Linked DNA regions of Cricetulus griseus. The protein of the gene in region 1 interacts with the protein of each later gene in a pairwise test. Links are inferred from orthologs where the notes say so. Each region holds a gene or a part of one and is shown in the gene's direction. Other genes may lie near its edges.

The links.
Region 2: the proteins of Cep44 (region 1) and Cby2 interact in binary tests that used the Homo sapiens proteins (3 or more experiments, as listed by UniProt). The two-hybrid records come from large-scale screens. The link is inferred for Cricetulus griseus from reciprocal best matches to the Homo sapiens genes CEP44 and CBY2.
Region 3: the proteins of Cep44 (region 1) and Txlna interact in binary tests that used the Homo sapiens proteins (3 or more experiments, as listed by UniProt). The two-hybrid records come from large-scale screens. The link is inferred for Cricetulus griseus from reciprocal best matches to the Homo sapiens genes CEP44 and TXLNA.
Region 4: the proteins of Cep44 (region 1) and Aqp1 interact in binary tests that used the Homo sapiens proteins (3 or more experiments, as listed by UniProt). The link is inferred for Cricetulus griseus from reciprocal best matches to the Homo sapiens genes CEP44 and AQP1.
Region 5: the proteins of Cep44 (region 1) and huntingtin-interacting protein M interact in binary tests that used the Homo sapiens proteins (3 or more experiments, as listed by UniProt). The two-hybrid records come from large-scale screens. The link is inferred for Cricetulus griseus from reciprocal best matches to the Homo sapiens genes CEP44 and H2AP.
Region 6: the proteins of Cep44 (region 1) and Pop5 interact in binary tests that used the Homo sapiens proteins (3 or more experiments, as listed by UniProt). The two-hybrid records come from large-scale screens. The link is inferred for Cricetulus griseus from reciprocal best matches to the Homo sapiens genes CEP44 and POP5.
Region 7: the proteins of Cep44 (region 1) and Rnf8 interact in binary tests that used the Homo sapiens proteins (3 or more experiments, as listed by UniProt). The two-hybrid records come from large-scale screens. The link is inferred for Cricetulus griseus from reciprocal best matches to the Homo sapiens genes CEP44 and RNF8.

What each region holds. Positions count from the first base shown.
Region 1 is NW_023276806.1:234,964,390-234,968,518, reverse strand, and holds the start of Cep44 (centrosomal protein of 44 kDa), read left to right. Parts: upstream 1-1,329; 5' UTR 1,330-1,772; exon of another isoform or gene 1,773-1,880; intron 1,881-3,955; exon of another isoform or gene 3,956-4,003; intron 4,004-4,129. UniProt on the Homo sapiens protein: Centriole-enriched microtubule-binding protein involved in centriole biogenesis. In collaboration with CEP295 and POC1B, is required for the centriole-to-centrosome conversion by ensuring the formation of bona fide centriole wall.
Region 2 is NW_023276807.1:229,960,913-229,964,850, reverse strand, and holds the start of Cby2 (protein chibby homolog 2), read left to right. Parts: upstream 1-1,138; coding exon 1,139-1,213; intron 1,214-1,535; coding exon 1,536-1,616; intron 1,617-2,251; coding exon of another isoform or gene 2,252-2,299; intron 2,300-3,938.
Region 3 is NC_048595.1:23,404,282-23,407,781, forward strand, and holds part of Txlna (alpha-taxilin), read left to right. Parts: intron 1-957; coding exon 958-1,152; intron 1,153-1,510; coding exon 1,511-1,630; intron 1,631-1,871; coding exon 1,872-1,946; intron 1,947-2,876; coding exon 2,877-2,969; intron 2,970-3,500. UniProt on the Homo sapiens protein: May be involved in intracellular vesicle traffic and potentially in calcium-dependent exocytosis in neuroendocrine cells.
Region 4 is NC_048601.1:85,971,847-85,974,755, reverse strand, and holds the end of Aqp1 (aquaporin-1), read left to right. Parts: intron 1-497; coding exon 498-677; 3' UTR 678-2,409; downstream 2,410-2,909. UniProt on the Homo sapiens protein: Forms a water channel that facilitates the transport of water across cell membranes, playing a crucial role in water homeostasis in various tissues.
Region 5 is NC_048604.1:115,609,487-115,611,744, forward strand, and holds huntingtin-interacting protein M, read left to right. Parts: upstream 1-1,404; coding exon 1,405-1,758; downstream 1,759-2,258.
Region 6 is NC_048597.1:94,815,587-94,819,532, forward strand, and holds Pop5 (ribonuclease P/MRP protein subunit POP5), read left to right. Parts: upstream 1-1,146; 5' UTR 1,147-1,184; coding exon 1,185-1,204; intron 1,205-1,291; coding exon 1,292-1,434; intron 1,435-2,648; coding exon 2,649-2,798; intron 2,799-2,986; coding exon 2,987-3,070; intron 3,071-3,152; coding exon 3,153-3,265; 3' UTR 3,266-3,938; downstream 3,939-3,946. UniProt on the Homo sapiens protein: Component of ribonuclease P, a protein complex that generates mature tRNA molecules by cleaving their 5'-ends. Also a component of the MRP ribonuclease complex, which cleaves pre-rRNA sequences.
Region 7 is NW_023276806.1:258,092,300-258,095,799, forward strand, and holds part of Rnf8 (E3 ubiquitin-protein ligase RNF8), read left to right. Parts: intron 1-771; coding exon 772-879; intron 880-1,887; coding exon 1,888-2,092; intron 2,093-3,500. UniProt on the Homo sapiens protein: E3 ubiquitin-protein ligase that plays a key role in DNA damage signaling via 2 distinct roles: by mediating the 'Lys-63'-linked ubiquitination of histones H2A and H2AX and promoting the recruitment of DNA repair proteins at double-strand breaks (DSBs) sites, and by catalyzing 'Lys-48'-linked ubiquitination to remove target proteins from DNA damage sites.

The sequences.
Region 1 (4,129 bases):
AAAACAATAAATTTATTTATTCTTCATTCTGAAACTCTTATTTTGCAAACCATTTTCACAAAGGTAATAGGAAGTTTCTCTCTTAGTACAAACATGAAACGAAAGAGGGGTTAGTGGGCTGTTACACATCCATAGTCTCAGCCTTGGGAGGCCAAGTTGGAAGGATTGCTAGCTAGGGACAGTCGGGGCTACACAGAGAATTCTACACCAGCCTGGAGTACATAGGAGACCCTGTCTCAAAATAAAAGGGTAAAGGGAGCGCAAATGCTGAAACGGAAAAACAAAGTGTATTCAATTGCAGTAATATAGGCAATGCTTTGACGAGAGCAGCAGGGGTGGGGGTTCGTAAAAATAAACGTCTGGCATGTAAACCATTTAGCCACAATTATTAATAAGCCATTACAGAACGCAAGCTTAAAATATATCGAACAGGAAGTGCAAATGGATCATGGGTTTGCTTGTTTTGTTTTTGTTTTTTGTCTGTCGAGCAATATGTATTAAGTATATATCACGTGGAACGTGTAGGAAAACAAAAGACAAGAGTTTAACCAAATTTATTCTCAAATTGGGGGACTGTGGCAACTAGCAAACAGCAGTGATCCTAAACTGTACATATTTGGATTCGTATTTATTGGGATGTCGTAAAAAGGAAACAAAAAAATGTCAAAGCGTGCCTGGGCGCCTAATAACACAGCCACCACCATGAAAGCAACCTGAGGTAAGTAACCTTCACCGTTTGCCCGCATTCTTGGAGGACAGCATCGCGTCGCTCCTGCAAGTCCCAAGTTGACCTCTATACCCCTGGCCTAGAAACCCCGAGACCTACGCCCGCCTCCTGACGGCGACACGCAGTGTTCATAAGCCAGCGCCGCTGTCACTCAAAGCGTCTCGGCGTGCCATTGGTCCTAAACTATCGCCTACCCCCCGGTGCTGCCAAGTGGCAAGCACCCCTCGTTTTTCATTTCCGAGCATAAAAGTGAAAGAGCGCAGGCGGGAGAGACCAGGCTTTGGAGGCATCCGGGCCGACGCTAGTACCTGAACGACCTGCGATCCCCGCCGCCGCCGCGACGACTCTGCCTCTGGGCGGGGGCCGTCAGCCGCAAAGAAAATGGCTCAGCCGGGAACCGACGCCCAAGCCATGGAGAGGCCCGTCCAGACCGCGCGTGTTCACGCTGGAGAGCACGGCGGCTGCGAGGGCACCAGCACCAGCACCAGCCCCAGCCCCAGCCTCCCGGGAATTCAGAGCACCTCCGTCTGCAGGAGCCGGAGTGGCAGGCAGGGCAAGGTTTTTGACGTTTCCTATTGTTGCCGGAAGTGACGTCGGGGAGCGGGGCCCCTTAAAGAATAAGGACTTCGTTTTCGTCGTGTCCGATTCGCCGTACGGTCTTTCTTTCCCGCTTCCCCTTCTGAACGACCGTTCCCATCCGAGTTACGCTAATCTGAAACATGACACTCAGCGTCAGTTGTATAATTGATGAGGTTCTCATGGGAATTGAGTCTCCCGAGGAAGCCGCTCGGGCGGAGTATGGAATCTGCACCGCGGAATCTGAGAGTGAGGGGCAGCCCGTGTGTAGCCACTTTTCGCGGCGCGCTGGTACCCACGGTTCCAAATCCAAACGGTCGGCGCGAGAGGAGCCCTGGAGCGCGGGCGCTAGGGCTCTGGGGCCGGACACCTGGTTCCCGCCACTTTCTCGAGCTACTTATGCTCCCGTCTCCTTCCGTGTTGGTGCGGTCGCCTTGGGAACCCTTCTCTTCGGCTTGGCGGCTGCTGGGTGAGCCGGAGTCTGCGGACAGGCTGTGCTGCTCTGGCTGGGACAGAGGTCTCCTGAATGCTGCTGCACTCACTCCCCCGGGTTCCTGAGTTGTAGGCCTATGATCAGGTCTGCTGTCTCATCCTTCTAAGTCTAGGGGCAAGAGGGAGATCCTATATGGCACTTGCTTATGTACCCAGCTGGTAGATGCTTTGGGAGGCAACCAAGTAGGAGGAATCATAGTCCACCTCTTAGAACTGGTTTGCGACTTAATACTGGGAGGTTAAAGGCACTCTGGGGTCTCCTTTGTCTTTTCAGCCCAGGATACATCTAGACTGGCTAGAAGAGTAAAAGTACTTCGTGTTCTCTTTGCTTTCGTTTTCATGAATTTAAAGAATTCTCCATCTACTTTGAGGACTACAGATTTTTTTTTTTCTCTCTATGAAGAAAACTAATCTTAACATTTATTCTGGACTCATGACTGCACTAGACTATTTTACAGAATTACTTGCAAGCATTTTTAAAAAACAGTTTCATACACAAACGCAGCGGTCCCATTGAGCCATCATTGCTGCCGTTTGCTCTAGCTAACTCCCTTTTTTTATCCCTCGTCAGAACTTTTCTCTTACAACAACATTTTACTAGTATCTATTACTGGGGGGCTTTGTACCTTTAATTTCTACAGATCTGTATTCCTCTATCTAAAACTTTGGTTTTTAGATACATTGCGCTAGATCTCAAAAATCTTAGTTATCCACCGTTTTTATTAAAGTCTAGTTACTTCATACTGAACAAAATGATTTTTGAGTCCAGTGATAGCTTATATGTTTAAAGACCTGCAACAACTATGAGACTGAGCTGAGTTTAAAACGAAAAAGCTTAAACTGCTGGCCTGGGCATCTAGCTCGGTAGTAGAGCCATTAGGTGTTATTCCAAGGCCCTGGGTTCAATTCCCACTGCCCACCAAATCCATGTTGTGCCTTTCCCACAACCTTTTTCAGAAATTCAGTTGGCAGATTTGATTTGCTCAGAACTCTTCAGAAAGCTGGGTAGACTATTGGGACCTTAGTGATCGAATCTGCATACTTTATTTACTTAATGTGCTATGATACATAATATAAAGTGAAAATGTAAATCAGTTTTATTTTTCAGTAGCATTTTTTTTTCATCTCAGAAATTTGTAGAAATTTGCTTCTTGGCCTTTTGACTAAGATGAAGTGTGAATCATGTATCAATATTTGATCAGCTTCAATTAATAATCTTAATTTTAGTGCTTACTTATTTTTTAAAAAAACTGGGAAATCCTTCCTTGAAAACATTTTTCTATGATCTTTTTTAATGTCTTCATGTTTTTCTTTCCTGTCATATCATTTTTCTCCTCCACCTACAGATCCAAGCTGTACTTGAATCTTACTCTTGAAAATATTTATTCTGCTGGTGGTGAAGAGGATGTGTTCTGGGGCCATACTTTATTGCCAGAAATATCACTACCAGAGGTAGACATAATGTAAAGGTCAATGTGTTTCTACAAGGAAAAAGTATTAGATAAAAATCACATGTCCCGGAAAAATGGGATATGAATGAAAGGAAAGAATTGTGTTGAGTCAGATGGGTCTGAAACCTAAAATAAGATCAGACTTGGAATCTTAAATCTCGGGAGTAGTTCACACATCCCCTTTTCTAGGTGATAAAGGTTGATTTGGGAAGTCTGTCTTAACATTTCTGTATGTCTGTCTAGCCCTGGCATCTGGAAAGCTGTGAAGTAAGGCTTATAGTTTTGAACTATATTTTGTATAATTTTATTCTAGGATCACTTACTTTTTTTTCTCCCTAAAATCCTCATTGCCTAAATATGTTAATGTTTAATCAATGTAATTTAGTGTTTCAAAAATGGTGACCAAAATGCCAATGAAGAGTACAAATGTTCAGCATCTTGGTTTTCATTGTGTTAATGAAGAGCAGACTGAAACAGGAGAAGATAAGGTGCCCAAATCTAGGGAAATGGCTACGGAAAATGGGAGGTGGCCCAGGCTTAGAAATTTGGAAATTGCTAGGTTTATTTACCTCCCTTTATGTATGTAGATACAGAGATGTCTGAAGGAGTCATTTATATGTTGGATAGTTGCTAAAATGTAGACTGTGAGCAAAATCACATAAAGTATATTTCATCTAATTCTTGAATTGTTTTTTGTTTTTAATGTCAGTGATTTCATTTTAAAGGAGCTTCATTCTCAGAGAATTTATTTCTCAAGGTACTTTTATAATTTTCTTAAGTAAGATATTGGTAAACTATGGGTTTGTTTTGTTTTTTAAGACAATCATCTGATTGGCAACAACATGAAATCCAAGCCCTGGGGATAATAACTAAATCTGAGCTA
Region 2 (3,938 bases), on another chromosome or scaffold:
TGCTCCCCAGACTGATAGCTGGGTTACCAGCATGGGACTGATCCAGACCCCAGGAACATGGGTTTCATTGAGGAAACCCCGGAAACCTACTCTCTTCCTACCCCAAGGGGCAAAATCACACAGAACTGGGGCTCTTAAATGGATCTGGAGGTGACAGATTTGACAGAGCTAAGGATGGAGGGATGAGTGTTCTGGCCTTAATGCAGGTTCTACATGTGATATGTTTGGTTGTATTTTTCTATCAGAACAGTGTTTCTTAAACCCTTGGGATTTCCTGACAGGACCTCCTTTGAAACACATCAGTTTATGCTAGGGGAATGACTTTGGGGGTGGGGGGTGATTGTCAGAGGAACCAATCAGGTGATTAGAAGGTTGGAATTTTCAGCAAACGTCTACCTCTGGAAGGATTTGACATTTAGTTAAGTGATCAAAGGCTAATGATTTGATAAAATTTGCCTACATAATGGAACTCCACAAATACCTCTAAACAACTGGGTTCAGACATTGAAGATGCTGGGAGGCAGGTGTGTCCAGAGAAGGCCAGAAGGTTTACGACACTACCCTGTCAAACAGCTCACCCTTTATCATTACCATTTGGCCCCTCCTGAGCTGCATGCTTCTTAAAGTTGTGATCCTAAGTAAATTACTCTCCTGTGTTCTGAGAGACAGCTATTGAACCTGAGGAGCAGCTTAGGGTAACCCCTGCATGGCTAACCAGTTACAAGTACAGGTGGCCCTGATATGGGATTGGTACTTGAAGTAAAAGATCATCTTTTAGGGCCGAGCCCCTAACTTCTCGGAACCTGACATGTAGCTATTATCAGAGTGGAACTGGACTGGAGTTCCTCAGTAGTGCCAAGTCTCTCCAGGTCTAGACAGTTAATGTTTCTCTTTTCCTAATTAATGTGATTGAAACAGATGCCACCTCTGATGGGAGGTAGAGAGGTTCAAGCCAGCCTGGCAGTGAGGTGTGAGTGGCAGCCAGCTGACCAAACAAGGGCTATTGTGTGTCACACTGACCCGGGCTGGCCACCTGAGCACAGCCAGCAGCAATTCTTCCTTCCTGCAGAAGCCTCGTTCCCACCTGAGATGCCCGGAGAGAAACCATGAGCTCAGAAAAACACCATATTGTTCTGTGATGTCACCTCTGGAATGTTCTGAGTGTTTTGGTGACCAGCTTATGCATAGGACCTATACCTGGCACCTCACATTGGTATGGCTTTTTACTTATATAGAAATCGTAGTGTAAAACCAGGAAGAGCTGCAATGATTTCTTCTTGTAAGAGGGCTTCATATCAGTTCATTCCTGTCTTGGTTTTTTGTTCAGTGATCAGTGTCGATCAGTTCCTGATCACTGAGCAGTAAGACTTCTGGCCAGGCGCCATGTACACATGCCTTGAGACTGTGATTTTTATAAGGTATAAAATTAGTCAGAAGGACATAAATGTGTAGAAAGAGGTTATGTGTTTCAGGTGAGCCACTGAGGCCCTGAGGATGGGTTGAGAAGGAGAAATCTGATTCTTTCTTTTTCACAGCACTCGAGGCCAATTTTTACAAGAAAGAGAGATACCAGATCTGAAAGCCTAGAAATTCCAATCAATGTGGTTCTACCTCAGGTAGGGACAATCATGGAAGAATGTAACTTGCTAGAATAACCCTGTTTCCAAGCCTTACAGAATGAACAGCGAAGTCAGCCACTCAGATTCTTGTCATGTTGGTGTTGTTTTCCTGCCCATTTGTCTTGAGGAGGACACATGGATTCTCTGAACCTTGGGGTCCTCTGGCCTTGAATGAGGAGACTGAGTTGGATGGTCAGGTCCTCCAGCACTAGCCTTTCAAGATTTGTTGATACTATGACAAAAGTCTAACCTTCCCAAAGGAGACCCTTCATTGCATGGTAGTGTATAACCACTCAGGACATCTGTAGAGAACTAGAGTCAACCTTGAATCCAGATGCATAAGAATGAACACAGGAGCTGAAACCCCAGAATGGAGCCCACTTGCAATGGTCAAGAGGATTAAGCCCTGCCATGGGCCAAAGATGGTTTACTGGGGATGAATGTTCACTTGTTTCTTTTGAAGCCAGTGAATGATTAAAACACTTATAGCTTGTGGTCTCCAGATCTCCTGCACACAGCAACTTTCTCAGTGGGACCCCCTTTTACTTGAGTGTTCCTTCTGTTGCTATGTCACAAAGGGGTGGCCTTGCTTTCTCCAGTGTTACCCAAGAGCTCATTGGAAGACCAGGGTCATGCAACCAGTGGAGGAGAAATGTAGGATGGAGGGATCCAAGGCACAGGTAATTTCCCTAAAAGTTTGGTCTCAGGAGGTATGTACAAAGAGGATGGATCTCTGGCTGGTGTTCTCTATTAGTGTAATTATAATGAGCTCAGCAAATATGGTGAGAAGGAGACAGAAACACAGGACAAGAGAACCACCTGGGTATTTTTTTTCCTTACAGCATTGTAGTAAGCAGCCACAGTTACATCTCTTTCAGCTCATGATAGCTAAGCCAGATTATTAGGCAACTATGTCCTGGGCATCCTATAGAAGAACAAGGAACCTTGCTAGGTCTGATCCCTGACACATAAACTACACATCTGTGCATGAGGGTGGCCGTGGTTCCTTTGGTACCTTTATTAGCCCACATGTTAGGGGCAGACAGGAGATACCAGCCCAGATGTGGGAGTGGGAATGGGGCTGGGAATAAGATTTGAAAGTAGGTGTATTACTTGCTGTTCACATTGTTGTGACCAAATACCTGGCAAGAAGCAAGTTAAGGGAGGAAGTCTTTATTTTGGATCTTGGTTGAGGGGTAAATCTGTTGTGAAGTGGAAGCTATGGGGTGGGGCCGCTGCCTCACATCACTGCAGATCCATGTTTTTCTCAGTCCAGGATGCTAGTTCATGAGCACTGTAAGACCCTTGGAAAGCTGAGGCTTCCAGAATCTTAGCCCAGGACCTCGGCCACCCCAATCACAGAATGGAGGCGAAAGCTAGATGCAAATTGCATGAGGCTTTATTGTAGTTTAACGAGCTAACACCATGTTAGCTCGGGTCTTTGACCCACCCACCATGGCAGATGGCTAGCAAAGACAGTTTGAAGCTGCTGCATACAGATCTTTATAGGGCAGCATAAGGGGAGTGTTTAGGGGTATGCACAGGCTCAGGATTGGTGTGCCTCCAGGCTTGGAGGGTTTGCCCTGTGTTGATTGGTCAACTGGCTGTTATGGCCCATAGGCCCTCCCAGGGTGGTTGCTATGCTTTGTGCGTCATTGCTGTGCGCTTGTCCATAAAGCACACCCAGGGTCATAAAGCATAGCGCTATCAGCTAACTTCTGATTGGCTCCTTGTCACGAGGCAGGCATCTGACTTTCTAGTGACTAACTTCTGATTGTTTCCTTGTCACGAGGCAGGCATCTGACTTTCTAGTGACTAAGACAAGGTCATAGAGCACGTGTTTGGTCATTATGGCTGCCAAAAGGGAAGCTGGTCCCTTCAAGCACTAGCCACATTAAGTATGGGCCTCCCCTCTGTTAGTCCTTCCCCATAAAGTCCCCACAGACACATCAAGGATGTGTGCCTTGCTAATGCCCTGGGTGTTTCTTAATCTAGCAAGCTGACACAAAGCCTTCATTACTGCCATGCCATAGAAAGATTAGAAAGATCCATCTACCCCTGGCATGACTTTGTCCCTAGCTCCCAGCGCCAGCTTAGCAGTCAAGGAGAAAAGGTGTTTGAGGAGTCTTGGGTTTGTTCTGGTCCTTTCAGGCCTACTTCCTGTGCTGTGGGACCTGGATCTTGGAAGGCAGAAGAATATGGAAGGAAGAGGTCACTGCTGTCTGGAGATTTTTCATGGCCAGCCAGGCTTAGTCAGCAGTCATCTCTAGGTCACTTAAGTAAGCAGCTGGTGTTGAAAAGCAGGAAGAGGATAATTCT
Region 3 (3,500 bases), on another chromosome or scaffold:
GAGGTAATTACTGCCAAACCTGATAGCCTGTGTTCAATCCCTGGGACCCCCATAGTGAAAGGAGATAACCCACTCCTACAGCTAGCTATCCTCTGACCTTCACATGTGGACCATGGTATGCATGTGTACACACAAGCAGTAAATAGAATTATTTTTAAAATTGCTTTAAGATGACAGAATGTTTAATAAAAAAAGAGACAGGATTTTATCATCAGCACATTTTATCATTTTGTTTTCTATGGGAAATGAGCAGGAATACTTAATCTAGAATCTGGGAACACGAATTCAGAAGATCCAGACTGCTTCAGAATGGCACTTAACATGTATGCTGAGTATTCTTTTTTGTGTGGGGGGGTGGGGGTGCGAGACATGGTTTCTCTAACCTAACCCTAACTGTAACAATAACTCTTTCCACAAGCCTCCTGAGCCCCACCATCACATGGGTGCCCAAAATAACACACAGAGATTAGTATTAGGTACAATGCTGCTGGCCAATAGCTAGGATTTCTTATCTGCTAGCTCAGTCTTAATTATCAACCATAATCATTAATCTATATATTTTATAAAGACTTAACGAAGATGCTGGCCTTATGCGTCCTGTCTTCCCGGGGATCACATGGTGACTCTGACACTTTCCTACATTTTCCAGAATCCTCCTTCTCTCCTAGTTCTGCCTATGTTGCTTTCCTATTGGCCAACAGTGCTTTATCAACCAAGAAGACAAATGCATACACAGAAGGACCTCCCCCATAACCTAACCCTCAAAGTTGTGTGCCACACCGTCTGGTTCAAAAGGAGAAACTCAATTGATGTCACCTGATTTATAACATCCTGGAGCCTCCGTGCTTCTCATTGTGGGGCCAGTAGCTCTGTCGGCAAAGACTGGACTAGTTAGGGGTGCTTTGTATAGAGCTTAGAGCTGTGGATGATGGTTCAAGGGCTGGCTTCTTTCTTCAGGAAGAAGGTGTGCAGCGAGCCCGTGAGGAGGAGGAGAAACGAAAAGAGGTGACTTCACACTTCCAGGTGACACTGAATGACATTCAGCTGCAGATGGAGCAGCATAACGAGCGAAACTCCAAGCTGCGCCAAGAGAATATGGAACTGGCGGAGAGGCTCAAGAAGTTGATTGAGCAATATGAGCTTCGTGAAGAGGTGAGGTGGTCAGCAGCTTGTGAGGCTCTAGTGAGTGCCAGAGGCACTGGGGCAGCACTCTGCAGGCCTATTCTTGCTCTTCAAAAGATGTGATTCATAGACAAGGCACTGAAATGGAGAGAAAACATTTGGCCCACAGGGCCTTCCCTCTGGTGTCTGAACCAGGGATCTGTAGAAATACTCAGTTGTACAGTAGAGGTATAGTGTCCTATCTACACATTAGGTTGAGGTTAGGAAAGTGACCTCCCAAGGACAGTGGGATCAAGATGAGACTGGATAAAGTCCTTGTGTTCTAGAGTTGGGGCTTCCTTGAAGGGGTACTCCTGACAAGCAGATCCCATTAATACCTTTTCTACAGCATATCGACAAAGTCTTCAAACATAAGGACCTGCAGCAGCAGCTAGTGGATGCCAAACTCCAGCAGGCCCAGGAGATGCTGAAGGAGGCAGAGGAGCGGCACCAGCGGGAGAAGGAGTTTGTGAGGCTCAGGCCCCCCAGGGCTGTGGTTGGGATACAAGGAAGTGGGCTGGGTTTTGGCTTAGCTCAGAGTCTAGTTCATATGGGTGGGAGAGGATTTGCCTGCCCGGTCCCATAACTGCCTGTTCAGATGACAGTCTGAAAGCAGGTAGCCTCAGTGGGTCCAGTGCTTGTGGCTAAAGAAGGCCAAACATACCCCCCAGGGGCTGCTGACAGGTTCTGGGGTCCTGTCTTGGAAATAGCTCCTGAAAGAAGCAGTGGAGTCCCAGAGGATGTGCGAGCTGATGAAGCAGCAGGAGACTCACTTGAAGCAGCAGGTGAGACTGGAACCTTACCTGCAGTCATGTGGCCCCATCTTTAGGGTTGTGACAACAAGACCCTCATCTTATGCTTGTTCTGAGCCAACTGCTGTGTTCGTCTCAATCAAGCCTTTTATTTAAGAAAAAGTTGGGGGCACTGGAGAGATAGCTCAGAGGTTAAGAGCACCGACTGTTCTTCCAGAGGTCCTGAGTTCAATTTCCAGCAACCACATGGTGGCTCACAACCATCTATAATGAGATCTGGTGTCCTTTTGTGGCCTGCAGGCATATATGCAGACAGAACACTGTGTACATAATAAGTAAATTTTTTAAAAAAAAAGGAAAGAAAAGGTTGCCAGGAGGTGGTTATGCGTGGTTGAAGCTGGAGTTAGGGTTGTGGTCTCCACATGGGTGCTGGGAATTAAATCCACATCCTGTGGAAAACAGCCAGTTCTCTTAACTGATGAGCCATTTTCTCCAGCCTCATCATTTTTTGTTTTTGTTTTGTTTTTTACTCTTTTGTTGTTGTTATTTGTTTTGTTTTTTGTTTTCTTTTTTTGGTTTTTCAAGACTGGGTTTCTCTGTAATTTTGGAGCCTGTCCTGGAACTCACTCTTTAGACCAGGCTGGACTCTAACTCAAAGAGATCACCCACCTCTGTCTCCCAAGTACTGGGATTAAAGTGTGCACTACTGCTTCCCTTTGTTTTGTATTTTTAAGAGACCAGTGTCAGAATCTCTATGTGCTGAAGTCTTCTCAAGCTTACCTTCTAGTTTCTTTTTGTTGGAGCACATCCTTCCTGTGCACCGCTTTGGTTCTGTTTTACTAGGAAATGGTGTCTCAGTCGAATGGTTTTATCAAGGGCCAAAGGGATACTTGAATTGAATGTGTTACCCAGAGATGCTTTCAAAGAAGTCCAGCCTCATCTCTGTGCTTATCTCTCACCCAGCTCGCCCTGTACACAGAGAAGTTTGAGGAGTTCCAGAATACACTTTCCAAAAGCAGTGAAGTGTTTACCACATTCAAGCAAGAAATGGAAAAGGTAACCAGAGGGTTTGGGCCGGGCCAAGAGGAGCCTCAAGCCACTTCATTCAGAACTACCTTTGGGTGCCTCATATATCAGAAAGAAGTAGTTACAAGTGTCACAGCCTCCTCTCTTCCCCCTCGAGACACAGTTTGTGTTTGTTTTTCTATTATTTCTTAGTTTGGTTTCTATATTAATGCTGGAATTTAAAGTAGTAGAGAGTATGCCTTCCATTACTAGGCTTCAATAGTAGCCTTCCTAAAAAATATTTACTTTTATTTTTTGGCTTTTTTATTTATTTGGTTTTTTGTTTGTTTGTTTTTGTTTTGTTTAATTTTTTATTTTTATTTCATGTGCATTGGTGTTTTGCCTTTATGTATGTCTGTATAACGTCAGGTCTCCTGGGACTGGAGTTACAGACAGCTGTGAGCTGCCATGTGGGTGCTGGGAATTGAACCCCAGTCCTCTAGAAGAGTAGTCAGTGCTCTTAACCACTGAGCGGTTGGTTGGTTTTTGAGACAGGGTTTCTCTGTAACTTTGGAGCCTGCC
Region 4 (2,909 bases), on another chromosome or scaffold:
CTCTGTCACCTTGGGATTTAACAACCTCAGGCAGGCTCTGTGCCTTGGTTTCTCAGGCTGTGAATGAAGCAGACTTAGGAGAGTTGTCTCTCCCAGGGCTTTTAGGATCAGGAGAGCACCCATGTCTGCAAGCAGAGCTCTGAGCAGAGGAAACATTGCGTAGGTTTTTGCTCTAATTACTGTTGGTCTGTGTGCTCCTGGCCACCCTTCTATTAGACTTGCCCATCTCTGGGAACCTTCTGAGACTGGGGGAAGGGAGTAGTAGTACTAGCCATCCTCAGGAACAGGCTGCTACAGAGATGCCTGAGCTGGGTACAGAGGCCAGGACATGTCCCTACTACGCACCCCAATATGGGCCTACACTGAGAGGCACTGGAATCAGAAAAGTAGGGGCCTGGTCTGTCTGATTCTGACTCAAGGCAGATGCAGGGAGATCCCAATGGGGAGGACGGGTGGTGTGGCCAGCTGTCCTCTAAACTCTCATGCTTCTTTCCTAGATTTTCTGGGTGGGGCCATTCATTGGGGGTGCCCTGGCAGTGCTGATCTATGACTTCATCCTGGCCCCACGCAGCAGCGACCTCACAGACCGCCTGAAGGTGTGGACCAGTGGCCAGGTGGAGGAGTATGACCTGGATGCTGATGACCTCAACTCCAGGGTGGAGATGAAGCCCAAATAGAGGAGGCTTGGCCTAGGCATCCATGTGGGGGTGGGGCAGGGATGGGCGGAGGGAGGGGAGGGCTGAAATCATATTGTAGATGCTCTGACAAGCTGACCAAAGTCACTCCCCAAGACCTGCCTGACCTGAGTGGTCCCGCCTTGTCCGGGGCAGCAATATCACTGTCTTTCTTTCTGTTTCCTGGTCTCAGAGCTTCCTGGGGATCAAGATTTACCAACTCAGCACCTCATTCCATTCCCATCATAGAGGGGTGAAAGGGAGGAGCTCACCTGCTATTGTCCCCTCAGAGAGTGCTAGGAAGTCCCCCTCATCCCAAAGTTGCCCAGCAAGTCACCCACCTCAGGTGCCTGGGATTCTGCTGTTGTTGCTTTGTGCCTTTGATCATGACCTTCCTTGAGTAGGCATCTTGTCCCCAAAGACCCTTTGAGGGAGAGGAGGTCCCCCAACATTTGCCTTTGGTCTGACTTATCTCCAGGACCTATGCCCTTAGACTCACTATAGGACCTTGAAATTGTCCCAATGCTGGGGCCTCAGTGACCACGTATGTCAAGTGGCAAGGAAGGGACAGTTACGGGGACTCATTAAGTGTGGACATACCACAGGTTCTAGAAGGAACATTGTAGACAGCACTGCTGTGTCTACCTGGCCTGAGCTCTTTCCCAACATCCAAAGCCCATGAGCACATGTGGATGAGCTTTGAAGCAGAGATGTAGTTCAGGATGCTGGAAGTGCCTGTTCACCAGAGAGGCTTTCTTTAGTAGGTTTGCTGTAGCAGAATGAAGGCCGTTTTGTGGTGGAAGAAAAGTTCACACCATTATCTAGCTCTACTTGGTCTGCCCATCTAGCATGGCCTTGACTGGATAGTTTTTTTTTTTCAGTTCTCCAGCTCCCCTTGCAGTGTAGATTTGAGGAATGTGTTTATTAAAGAGCATTCAGCTATCCGCAGCACCGTGTCCAAGGAGGGAAGCAGCTGGATGTGGAGCAGTCCTGGGACAGACGCCCATGCTGAGTATGCAGGGGCTTGGCTCGCCCTAGTTCACATCATGATCAAGGAGGCCATTCCTGCCCTGGCTTATGATATGCTGGCTGGCTGCATTTGGTCAGAGCCTGGACAACCTGAACAGGCTCACTGTGTGACCCTACACATAGTCTTCTTTCCTTATTGACCTGATGATGCTTGTGCTTCAGCCCAAGGACAACTCAGAGCATAGTCAGCTCAGGGGTTGGCATCTTGAATTCAGCTCCCTAGGTTGGTCCATTCATCAGGCCAGAGTGGCTCCACCACTGTGCCCTTGACCTTGTGAACATAAACCGAGAGATACATTCTTCAGGTTCTTAGAAGTGGCAGGACAGTTAGGAGGCCTATGGCTGCACGCTCTTCTCCATTCCCTAGCAGGCACTGTAGCCCACTTAACAGATAAGGACACTGAGGACCCATGTGCCCAACTAGATCATATTGGGTCAATCTTAGCAGCCAAGGCCTTGTCTGTCCACTCCCTGGTCAATGAAGTGGTCTCCTCTCCCCTCCAGTTTCTCAGTTTCTGCCTGGGTAATGGCTAAGGGCCAAGGTGTGGTGAGGGAGGGACATGCTGGAGAAGGCGGGGCAGGCCCATCCCACCTGGTTCTGACCACTATGATCAAGGACCCCTCATCTGTCTGCTCTGTACATGTTTCTTTGCAATTGAAATTTCATCTTATGGTAAGAAAATAAAGGACAATGACTTGTAAGGTCTTCCGGGCTCCCTGTGGTTTTTGCTATGTTGGTATTGTATCCTCACAGAGGAAGTGATCCCTACCCTGGTCTCACTGCTATGCCACTCAGTCTGGGAAGAAGGCAGATGTCCTTGGGTCCTAAGGGGATGGGTACAGCTACAGCACCGGCCCTAGGGGGCACAGGGTCTTAATCTTAATAGGGAGACTTCTGAGGATGAGGAGATCTTGGGACAACTAGGGGGAAGTGAAGGAAAATTTGGAGCCAATTTAAATGGCATGATAGGAGCCATTTTGGGTTCTGGAAGATGGAAGAGTTAGGGAAAGCAGGGTTGAGGTCATACCCCTGTTAGCCCCTCTGTTCTCAGGGCAGAGTCTCAGGGCAGAGGCTTTGCCAGGCCTCTACCCTCTCTCAGCTCACCCGGAAAGCCTCACCTATACTTGTGTCTTGGGACTCCCAGGGGAGCTTTTGGGGGTTGACTTATCAGAGAAAATTCCTCCTGTGTTATGCTATACTGAGAT
Region 5 (2,258 bases), on another chromosome or scaffold:
CAGGCCTCATTTTCAGCCCAGTTGAGAAAATTTCATCTAAACTATATGTGCATATTTATACACAGTTTCATATATTAATTTTTTTCTAATTTAAAGTCAATAGTGTGATTCCTTTTGACTCATTCAGATATCCTACCCCCTAGAAGGAACCCCTAGAAAGAGTATTCCAAAGCCAAACAAGGAAGTAGTTGGAGGAAGTAGTGGGTACTTACCACAAGGGAAACAGTTAGAGGAGATATGGAAGAATAAATATGCTCCAGGAGGGTACTAGGGGAGGTGGAGTGGTACCTTAAGCTACAGATTCAGCGAGGGGGGGTATCACATTATATTTACTAGCCCTTACACATCTATGTTACAGAACCAAATCTGTTCCTGGGGAATCATTGAGGTTGTTTGGATGAGACAATCTAAGGTTAGTAGTTCCTCCGTTAGTTAGAGCACTTTCCCAAAGAATGAAACAGAGACTAGGGGTAAGGATAGGGAAGCTTTTATTAAAAAGCAGAAGGGTAAACTTTAGATTGTTAACTGAGCACACAGTATCACCAGCTGGGTGTACAGACATATCAGATAGTCAGATGTGTTGAGGTTGGAAACCAGCAGTCTGCCCGGGATATCTTGAGTAGTGAGTGTGGAAACTGTTCCACCTCCTCTGGAGAACACAGGAAGAAAGAACCACATTGATTACTGTTGGATTTGTCTAGAAAGTCAGTTTCAAATGTGTTCTGTGTGGTTTCCATCCTCACGATGGGTGTTTGAGATAGGAGATGGCTAACCAAGTTTGTTAACATGAGTGATATTGTATCTTTTGTTAGCTTTGGACTAGGGAGGCACAGATACTTATTTAATGTGGTTAATTTAAGGCCCCAAGGTGCTCTAATGGTTTACCTTTAACTGAGCTGGGACAGGAAATTTGGGGATTACTTGATGATGTTTTAGTGTCTGAAGGATCTAAACTTCCTCTTTCAGAATATTCCTCCTTTCCCAGTTTCCTTTTTGCATACTCCAACAGTTTGAAGAGGTCAGTCAAACCTCTACCTGGAAAGTATATTTGATATGTTTACCAGTACCCTCTAATTAATGAAAGGTTATAAAGACAGTTTCCAATTAAAACATGTTATTTCTACAATGTTAATTTGACTGTAATTGAGGGGAGTTAAATGTTTCTCAAAATCAGGGCAGGGAGGTGAAACTGCTGTGACAGACATTTCTAGACTGAGGCCTAGTCTGAGCCCATTGGTGCCCAGACACCAATGACATCTCAAAGTCCAAGATGTCATAAAGGTAGCTGCTGACCAATGAGTAGAAACTGGGGATGCAATGAGCAGGGCTGAACATTGTCTCCCGAGAGCCAGTCCTGCTGGTGGGCCAAGCACAGCTTGCCGGAGCCCAAGCCATCAAACCATCATGTCAGGGAAGAAGAACCAAGGAAAGTCTTGCAGTGACAACAAGAAGATGGAAGATCCTTCTTCTAAGCCCGAGGTACAGATTCCTGTGAACTATGTGTACCATCTACTGCAGGAGGAGCAATATACACCCTGCCTAGGCTCTACCACTTCAGATTTCCTCCTCGCCATGCTTGATTACATTACTGACTATATCCTGGAGGTGGTGGGCTCCGAAGCCAACATCAACAGCCAGCAAGACATCCCACAAGACAGAGAGAGGCAAGGGGACAACGACCATGACCATTCTCATGCCTTCAAGAATGCACCTTTCTCTCTGTTTGATGAGATGCCTGGACCCAGAAGGAATGGCTAAAGAATTGGGGACAGAACCCAAGGGTGGGAAGCCTCATGAACTCAGCTAGGACCATGATGGCTAATAGCAGAGGAAACTCCCCTGGTTCCATGAATACTAATAAAGTGTTTAAGTGAAAGTTGGTTGTTCTAATTCTTTTCACTTTGTCTTTCTGAGTTAGAGGTGTCTGCAACATACTAACGAAAGGGTGGAGGATGGAAGTTGTGGTTTGCAATGGGTGTATGAATCAGTGACTTACAGTGAGCACATCTCTGTGGGGGTGGCTTAGGTGGAGGGGTGGAATTGGAAGATGGGAGGAATTGGATGGAGGGAAGGGCAGGGAAGCCATCCTCATTGACTCTGAATACAAAAGAAGCCTTGGAGAAGCTTGGAAATTGGTTGGAGCCTCACTGGCAAGTTTGGCTTTTAGTATGGTAACTTAGAAGACACTGCTGATGACCAGAAATTCTGCTTGGAAGCCTTGTTTTATGGGAGTGAAGGTCTCAGAAGAAAATGCATGC
Region 6 (3,946 bases), on another chromosome or scaffold:
CTGGGCAGATGAGGGATAAATTTGTGGCAGCACAGGTGACATGAAAATACATGCAAGCAGCAGACTTATAGCCATGTTGCACGGAACAGGTATGCTGTAAAATGCATACATCAAGGCCAAGATCTGGCAACACCTATCCAGCTCCACAGAAGTGGGAATGGTGGCTCTTTCTTTCTAAGGACTTTGGTGAGGGCCTGGGAACTTACAGAGTACTAAAGTGCTATCTATGTCATATGAATCGTCTTCACTCAGTAGCACACGTAAGAATATGCACTTTACTGGCCTAGTGGTGTATGCCTTTAATCCCAGCACTCCGGAGGCCGGGGCCAGCCTGGTTTAAAGAGTGAGCTCCAGGACAGTCAGGGCTGTTAAACAGAGAAACCCTGTCTCAAAAAACAACGAAAAGAATATGCACTTTACATACAAGATTAAGTGAAATGAACCTAGTATGGTGGCACACCCTGTAATCCCAGCTCTTGGGAAATTGAGGCATAATTGCTTCCAGCTCTACTCCAGTCTGAGGTAGAATGAGATCCTGTTTTTGTTTTTGTTTTTTTAAATCACAAAAAGATATTCAAATGAATAACCTGTCCCCATCCCGCCCCGTTTGTTCTGGTTTCCTCTGTGTAGCCTTGGCTGTCCTGGGCTCACCATCCCTATTCTTACAGAAAACAAAGGGGCTGGGTGTGGTGAGTGGCACATAGTGGTAATCCCAGCACCTGCTAGGAAGAGACAGGGGAATCAGAAACTTGGGGTCACCCTTGGCTACACAGCCATTCTGAGGTTAGCTTGGGGAACATAAGACAAAGAAAGAAAAGACGGGAGGGAGGGAGGGAAAGTACTACATTGTTTTTGCAAACCAATTGACAAAAACCTCCACGAAACTGCGGGAGCTCCTAAAGAGTTAGCGTATTTGGCTGTATGGGAAAACCTCTGCTCTGACTTCTGTAAAGGCCCCGATTCCCGCGGCATTCTCGGGCTTTACGTGCAGGCCTGGCCTCAAAATCGGTCCGCCGTTGGGGAACACAAGCTCACGTACAAGTTGAGTGAGAAATCCCCAGCGCCAGGCTGAGGCGGACGCATGCGCTCTTACACTTTCCGCGGGAGGCGGGGCGCGGGGATTGACAGGGCACTGGGCCTATCGGGCCCAGTCCCGCCTCCCTGCCTCATCCGGCGCGGACGCCATGGTGCGGTTCAAGCACAGGTGAGTGTCGTCCTCCCCGCACCCGCGGCGGCGGCGGCGGCGGCGGCGGCGGCGTGTCCGGGCCGCGCTCACCTCAGTCCCCCGCAGGTACCTTCTGTGCGAGCTGGTGTCGGAGGACGCGCGCTGCCGCCTGAGCCTGGACGACCGCGTGCTTGGCGGCCTCGTCCGCGACACGATCGCCCGGGTGCACGGGACCTTCGGCGCAGCCGCCTGTTCGGTGGGCTTTGCAGGTACGGGGGCGCCGCGGCCGGGGCGCACGGCGCGGTTGGCAGGATACTGGAGGATTCTAGAAAAGCCTGGGAATCGCGCAGCATCCCAGGGCGGAAGGTTCAATACCCAGCACGGGGGCGGGGGTGGTGGTGGAGGGTATTCCGTTTAAGTTACTGGGCTAGGTCAAAGTAGCCGTGTAGAATTCCTCGTAAAAGTTCTGACCTGATAGGTTACGTTAGCACGTTTTAAAATGTCAGATTTATCCCTTAAAGTTTAAAGCGCCTCTGACGGACGGACGGACGGACGAGTGCACAGGAACTCTCATGTGGAAAGATGTGCTGAACTCGAAAGCTTTCTTTTTCTCCGAATGTCACATTTTAGCTTCTTTTACTTTAATCTTTTTTCTTTCCTTTTTTTTTTTTTTTGTTTTTGTTTTTTGTTTTTTTGAGACAGGCTTTGGAGGCTGTCCTGGAACTAGCTCTTGCAGACCAGGCTGGTCTCGTTTTACCGTAATCTTAAACGTGAATTCTGCAGAATTAAACACACGTAAACAAATTCTTGCTTTGGGTGAGACTACGTTAAAGAGGGACCTACCCACAGAAACCGGTTGTAAAGACACCTGTTTTACCGGAAAGTTTTTTTTTTCCCCCTGCTGTTTTTGGACACCTCCTTCCAATCCCAACCATAAACAATAGTAAGCTATCCCTAACTAGCACTACCCTAATAGACAATAATGGGGGAAGGGAGGGGCGGCCTATCATCCTCCAAGTTACTTCCTGCTGAAATGGGACGGCCGTAGAACTTCTCTCTCACTTTATATATTGACCTGAGTGATGGTCACTGGAAGGTTTATCATAAAATTTCAAGCTGAGCATCGTGGCAGACAGGTTTTGGTGTAGCTAGGATGACATAATGGGACTGTTTCAAAGGAAATAACCTTTCAACAATTTTTTTTTTTTTTTTTAAGTGAGACTGGTGGGGCTGGAGAGGACTCAGCAGTTAAGAGCATTTGTGGCTCTTTCAGAGGACCAAGGTTCCATTCCCAGCACCACATGGCGACTATCTAACTCTGGTCCCAAAGGGCAAAACATCACAAATTTACTCAGTGATGCATCCACCCAGACATTTGTCTAGAACAGTCACTGGCATATACTGGGATTTTCCGGGTTTTTTTTTTTTTTTTTTTTCTATTCCTGTAAATGGGAAGTTCTCCAGTTTTCGCTTCCTACTGTAGTTCGATACCTCAATGCCTACACTGGAGTAGTGCTACTGCGATGCCGAAAGGATTTCTACCAGCTTGTGTGGTCAGCTCTCCCTTTCATTACATATCTGGAGAACAAAGGACACCGATATCCGTGTTTTTTCAACACGTTACACGTGGGAGGTAAGAGTGATGGTAGCTTGTGTAAGGTGGCTGTTTGGGGCTCAGTCCTGGCAGGTGGGTGGGTGGGTCTTACTGCTGTCCCACTAAGAACAAGATGCTCCTCCCACCCACCCACCCACCGACCCACCGCCCCCTAAAGAGTGACTGTTTCACAAGCCGTTGTCCACTGAAGCTCTGTCATGCACCAGGTACTATTAGAACCTGTCAGAAATTCCTGATTCAGTACAACCGGAGACAGCTGTTGATCCTGTTGCAGAATTGCACTGATGAAGGTAGGCAACAGGCCAGGGCAGGTGGTGCCTGAGGCTCAGTGGTAAGATGATTGATGACCAAGGATGTCTTCCGTTCCTCTAGGGGAGCGGGAAGCCATTAGGAAGTCTGTCTCAAGAAGCTGTTTACTGGAGAAAGAGTCTGCGGAAGAGCTTTCAGACAGTGCTGGTGAGGAGGCTGTGGAAATAGTGGAGTGAGTGGCCCCATTCTCCAGCCCATTTGTGGAGCCACCAAACTGAGAGTTGGCAGCAGCAGCACACAGTTCTCCAAACTGACTACCAACCAAAGCACCATCTACACTCCTGGAACCCTTGTACAGACATTTTGTATGTAACTGTTGAGCTGAGTGGGTAGAACAAATGGTCTTGGCTTCCAGGGCAACATTGGTAAATCGCAAAAAGTACTTATATAGTTGATGCTTGGCCAGGTCTGTCCTCTGGCCTTGGATGTGCTCCCTGTGGTACTAATGGATTTTAAATATTCCTAGACCCTTACTATAAGAACTCATGCAAACCTGGGCGTGGTGGTGCACTCCTTTAGTTCCAGCAGCAGGAGGCAGAGGCAGACAGATCTGTTTGAGGCCAGCCTGGTCTATAGAGTGAATTCCAGAACAGCCAGGATTACACATAGAAAGTGTTGGGGGTTGGGGGTGGGGTAGACTCGTGTAAAGCAGAAATATCGATGAATAACCAACTACACTTGCATAATCTAGGTCAATTTAGTACTGTATCCTAGGACTACAAACACCAGGATACCTAGCTGACCATTGCTCAGGTGACTTGATAGGAAATGCTGTGGGAATATAATCCTAGCATGTGGGGTTTTCTGAAGGAGAATGACTCACATATATTAAATACTCTGGTTCCCAGATGGTCTGA
Region 7 (3,500 bases), about 23 Mb from region 1:
GGAGGCCATCTTTCCAGCCATGCCCAGAGGAACATAGGTATTATCCTTTGCTCATCAAAGATACTGTTTGACAGCACAAGGAACCACACAGCTCACTCCAGCCCCCTGCCTCCTGAGTGCTCTTTATATCTTGTCATGTGAATTTTTAGTATAGGGAAAAGTTTTTATTACTTGGGTTGTACCTTGCTAGAGAATATTTTAGTGCTCCCCCACCCACTTTGGCTAATTTGGGGGAAAGGAACCAAAGGACATATAATACAGGTGCTGGAAAAGTAAGTGTTTTAGTTCATCCGGGCTGCTGTAGTTAAAATGCCGTAAACTGGGTAGCTAATTAGCAACAGAAATTTATCTTTCCAAGTTCTGCAGGCTGGGAAGTCCCAAGAAGGTGAGGGCAGATGTGAGTCTGGTGAGGACATGATCTTGGTTCACGGATGACACTGACCCTGTCTTCTTCACATGGGAGCAGGGTGTGAGCAAGAGCAGGGCCAGCTCTTGCAGGCTTTGTCCTAGGTCACTCACCCTTAGGTGGGCTTCGCCCCTTCTTGCTGTCACACTGCAGGTTAGCTTTCAGCGGGAATTGGCCACAACAAAGGGAAAGACGGAGCTAGTGTTCTGTGTTAAGGGGCAGTTCTCAGGGAGTTTCTCTTGCATCGTTACACTGGAAGCCCTTTGCACCGGAAGGCATTTGCTCTACTCAGCGTACCTTGTGCTCACCCGGTCCTGCATTCTGCCTCATTTCCCCAGGTGACAGGTGGCATTGTGTCTTTGCAGGAAGAAAAGGAGAAGGTGCAAGCTCAGAAGGAGGAGGTTCTCAGCCATGTGAACGACGTGCTGGAGAATGAGCTGCAGTGTATCATATGCTCCGAGTACTTCATTGAGTTAAGTATGCACGGTGGCTGGCCCCCGCCTCACACGGTTCACCAGCCTTCCAGGCTGCTGCTGCTACAGGGAGTCACGCTGGAGGGAATTTTGTTTAGAAACCTAGAGCTGTTTGATCTCAAGGTGACATCAGAAGGTGGCCACTCCTCATTGCATCATGCCGTCTTCACTGTGCTTTTTCTCTTCTTGGATGTTTACTTAGCACAGTTGAAGTATTGGGATAAAGCTGACCACTAACGCTGTCCTTTCTTTGCTCTGGATGGGCACACTGCTCAGTGTGGACTTGTAGTGTGTCCTTTGGAATGCCATTGATTGTGTGGTTACTGTGGGGCATTCAGGGGCCAGAGTGCATATTTCAGGGCTTTGAGGATCCTTTTGAAAATGAAGCATCTCTCTCCTAGGCTACCATTTGTCACGTCGTCACCAGCTTTTAGTTTTCATTAATTTCTAGCATTTGTAACCAATTCATTTTATACTGCTGTCAAATGGCAGGGCTTCAGATAGCTTTGGAAAGGAAAACACACGTACAGAGGAGTCGTGTTCTGAGGCAATCTCCAGGATGTTGGAGGTGTTAGCCTTTGTGGAATCTCCCAGGAGAAGTGTCTGTGCCTGTGGATTCACACTGACTATAGGTCATCGGTTTCTGCAGTTTCCAGTCTGGTGATTCCCTGCTGGGGAGAAACTCAGCATTGCTCAGGACTCTGGAAACTAGCAGAAGATAAGAAAGGGAGATAGGAAAGGGTGGGGAGTGGGCATCTTTTTGTTTGTTTGTTTGTTTTTTCAAGACAGCCCTGTCTATCCTGGAACTCACTCTGTAAACCAGGCTGGCCTCAAACTCAGCCTACTTCTGCCTCCCGAGCGCTGGGATTAAAGGCATGCGTTCCTACTGAGAGCATTTTTGTAAGATGGGGCTGGTGAGCTTTCCTTTTGGCCTTGCAGATTTGCTCCTATTCTGGCTTTGAGAAAGTAGAGTGTCAAGTGTCCTTGTGTGTCCCTTTCACACTGCAGGCTGTCACCCTGAACTGCGCCCACAGTTTCTGCTCCTTCTGTATCAGTGAATGGATGAAACGGAAACTAGAGTGTCCCATTTGTCGAAAGGATATTGAGTCCAAAACCCACTCCCTGGTTCTAGACAATTGCATTAATAAGATGGTGGATAATCTGAGCTCAGAAGTGAAAGAACACCGGAGTGTCCTTCTCAGGGAACGGAAAGGTAAGTGGATTTTGAGAGTTCCTCCTCAACAAAGGACTTAATTATTTCTGAACCCCATTAGGTATTTTTAAGGGGTGAGTTGGGGATTATAATGTAGTCAGTGATTTTTGAATTAAGGACAGGCAGGAGGAAAGGAAGTGTAAAGGGAGTTGGACTGAACTAGACCTAGCCTCTGGAGTTTGAGCATCAAGAGGTAGGAAGCTTAATGTGTGTATACCCTGGTCCTTGGAGGGCGGTAAAAGAAAGCTGTGACTCGAAAACACAGTCAGATGGCTTGCCATATGGACCACCAGATGGTGCTGTTGCTGAAGACAGCTTGGTTCTGCCACTTGAGTTGACATATTATAAATAAGATGTGTGTAAGTTGGAGTCGCGGCTTGGAGAATACCTGGGAAACACGTACCAGCTCTGTTTGTAAGAGCCATGGCTTACGGCCCGGGTAGCTCAGCAGTTCTTCCCCAGTATGTGCAAAGCCCTGGGTTCCTCCCAGTACTGTTCCGTGTGCACACGCCTGTTCTGTCCTGGTGGGTCTCCGGTTAGAAGACTTTGGTGGAAAGATTGGAGAAGGGATCTTCATTTATTTAAGTCAGTGGTTCTCAACCTTCCTAATGCTGTGACCCTTTAATACAGTTCCTCATGTTGTAGTGACCCCCAACCATAGAATAATTATTTTCTATGCTACTTCATAACTGCAGTTTTTTACTGTTGTGGATAATGCAAACTTCTGTATTTTCCAATAGCCTCTTGGGGTCGTGACCCACAGGTTGAGAACCACTGATTTAAGTGATAGTGCCACACACAGGCTTGCCGTGTCAAGGCCTACAGAGAGCCACTTCTTTTTTTTCTTTTAATATTTTTTTTTTTAAAGTGGTCACCAGATCTCATTCAAGGTGGTTGTGAGCCACCATGTGGTTGCTGGGAATTGAACCCAGGACCTTTGGAAGAACAGTCCAGTGCTCTTAACCACTGAACCATCTCTCCAGCCCAAGAGAGAGCCACTTGTTTTGGTGGTGTTGCGGCAGAAGAGACTCTTAGAGCAAAGCAAGGAAGCTGCTGGGTAGGATGTGTCGATTATTGAGCAGAGGCGTATGGCTATCCTGTTCCATCACTACCTTCTGAGAGTTGGGAATTGAGGAGCTGCTGTCCATACTCCCACCCCGCCACTGTGTGTGGCTTGGCGGTACTCCAAGCGATGCTGGGCAGCCTCAAAGGCCTGATACTGTCAACAAGAACTGGGTGTTCTGTTTGTAGCTTTCTTCTCTCCTGGCCCTACTGCAGGTGTCAAGTATTTCAAGTAGGGACAGGAGTCTGCTGCTGACTGGTGGGGCAGCTGTGCTGTGGAACTAACTTGGCAGGCAGCCAGCGCATCATAGGACTGGCAGTGTGGAAGCTGATCGGGAAGCCTGGG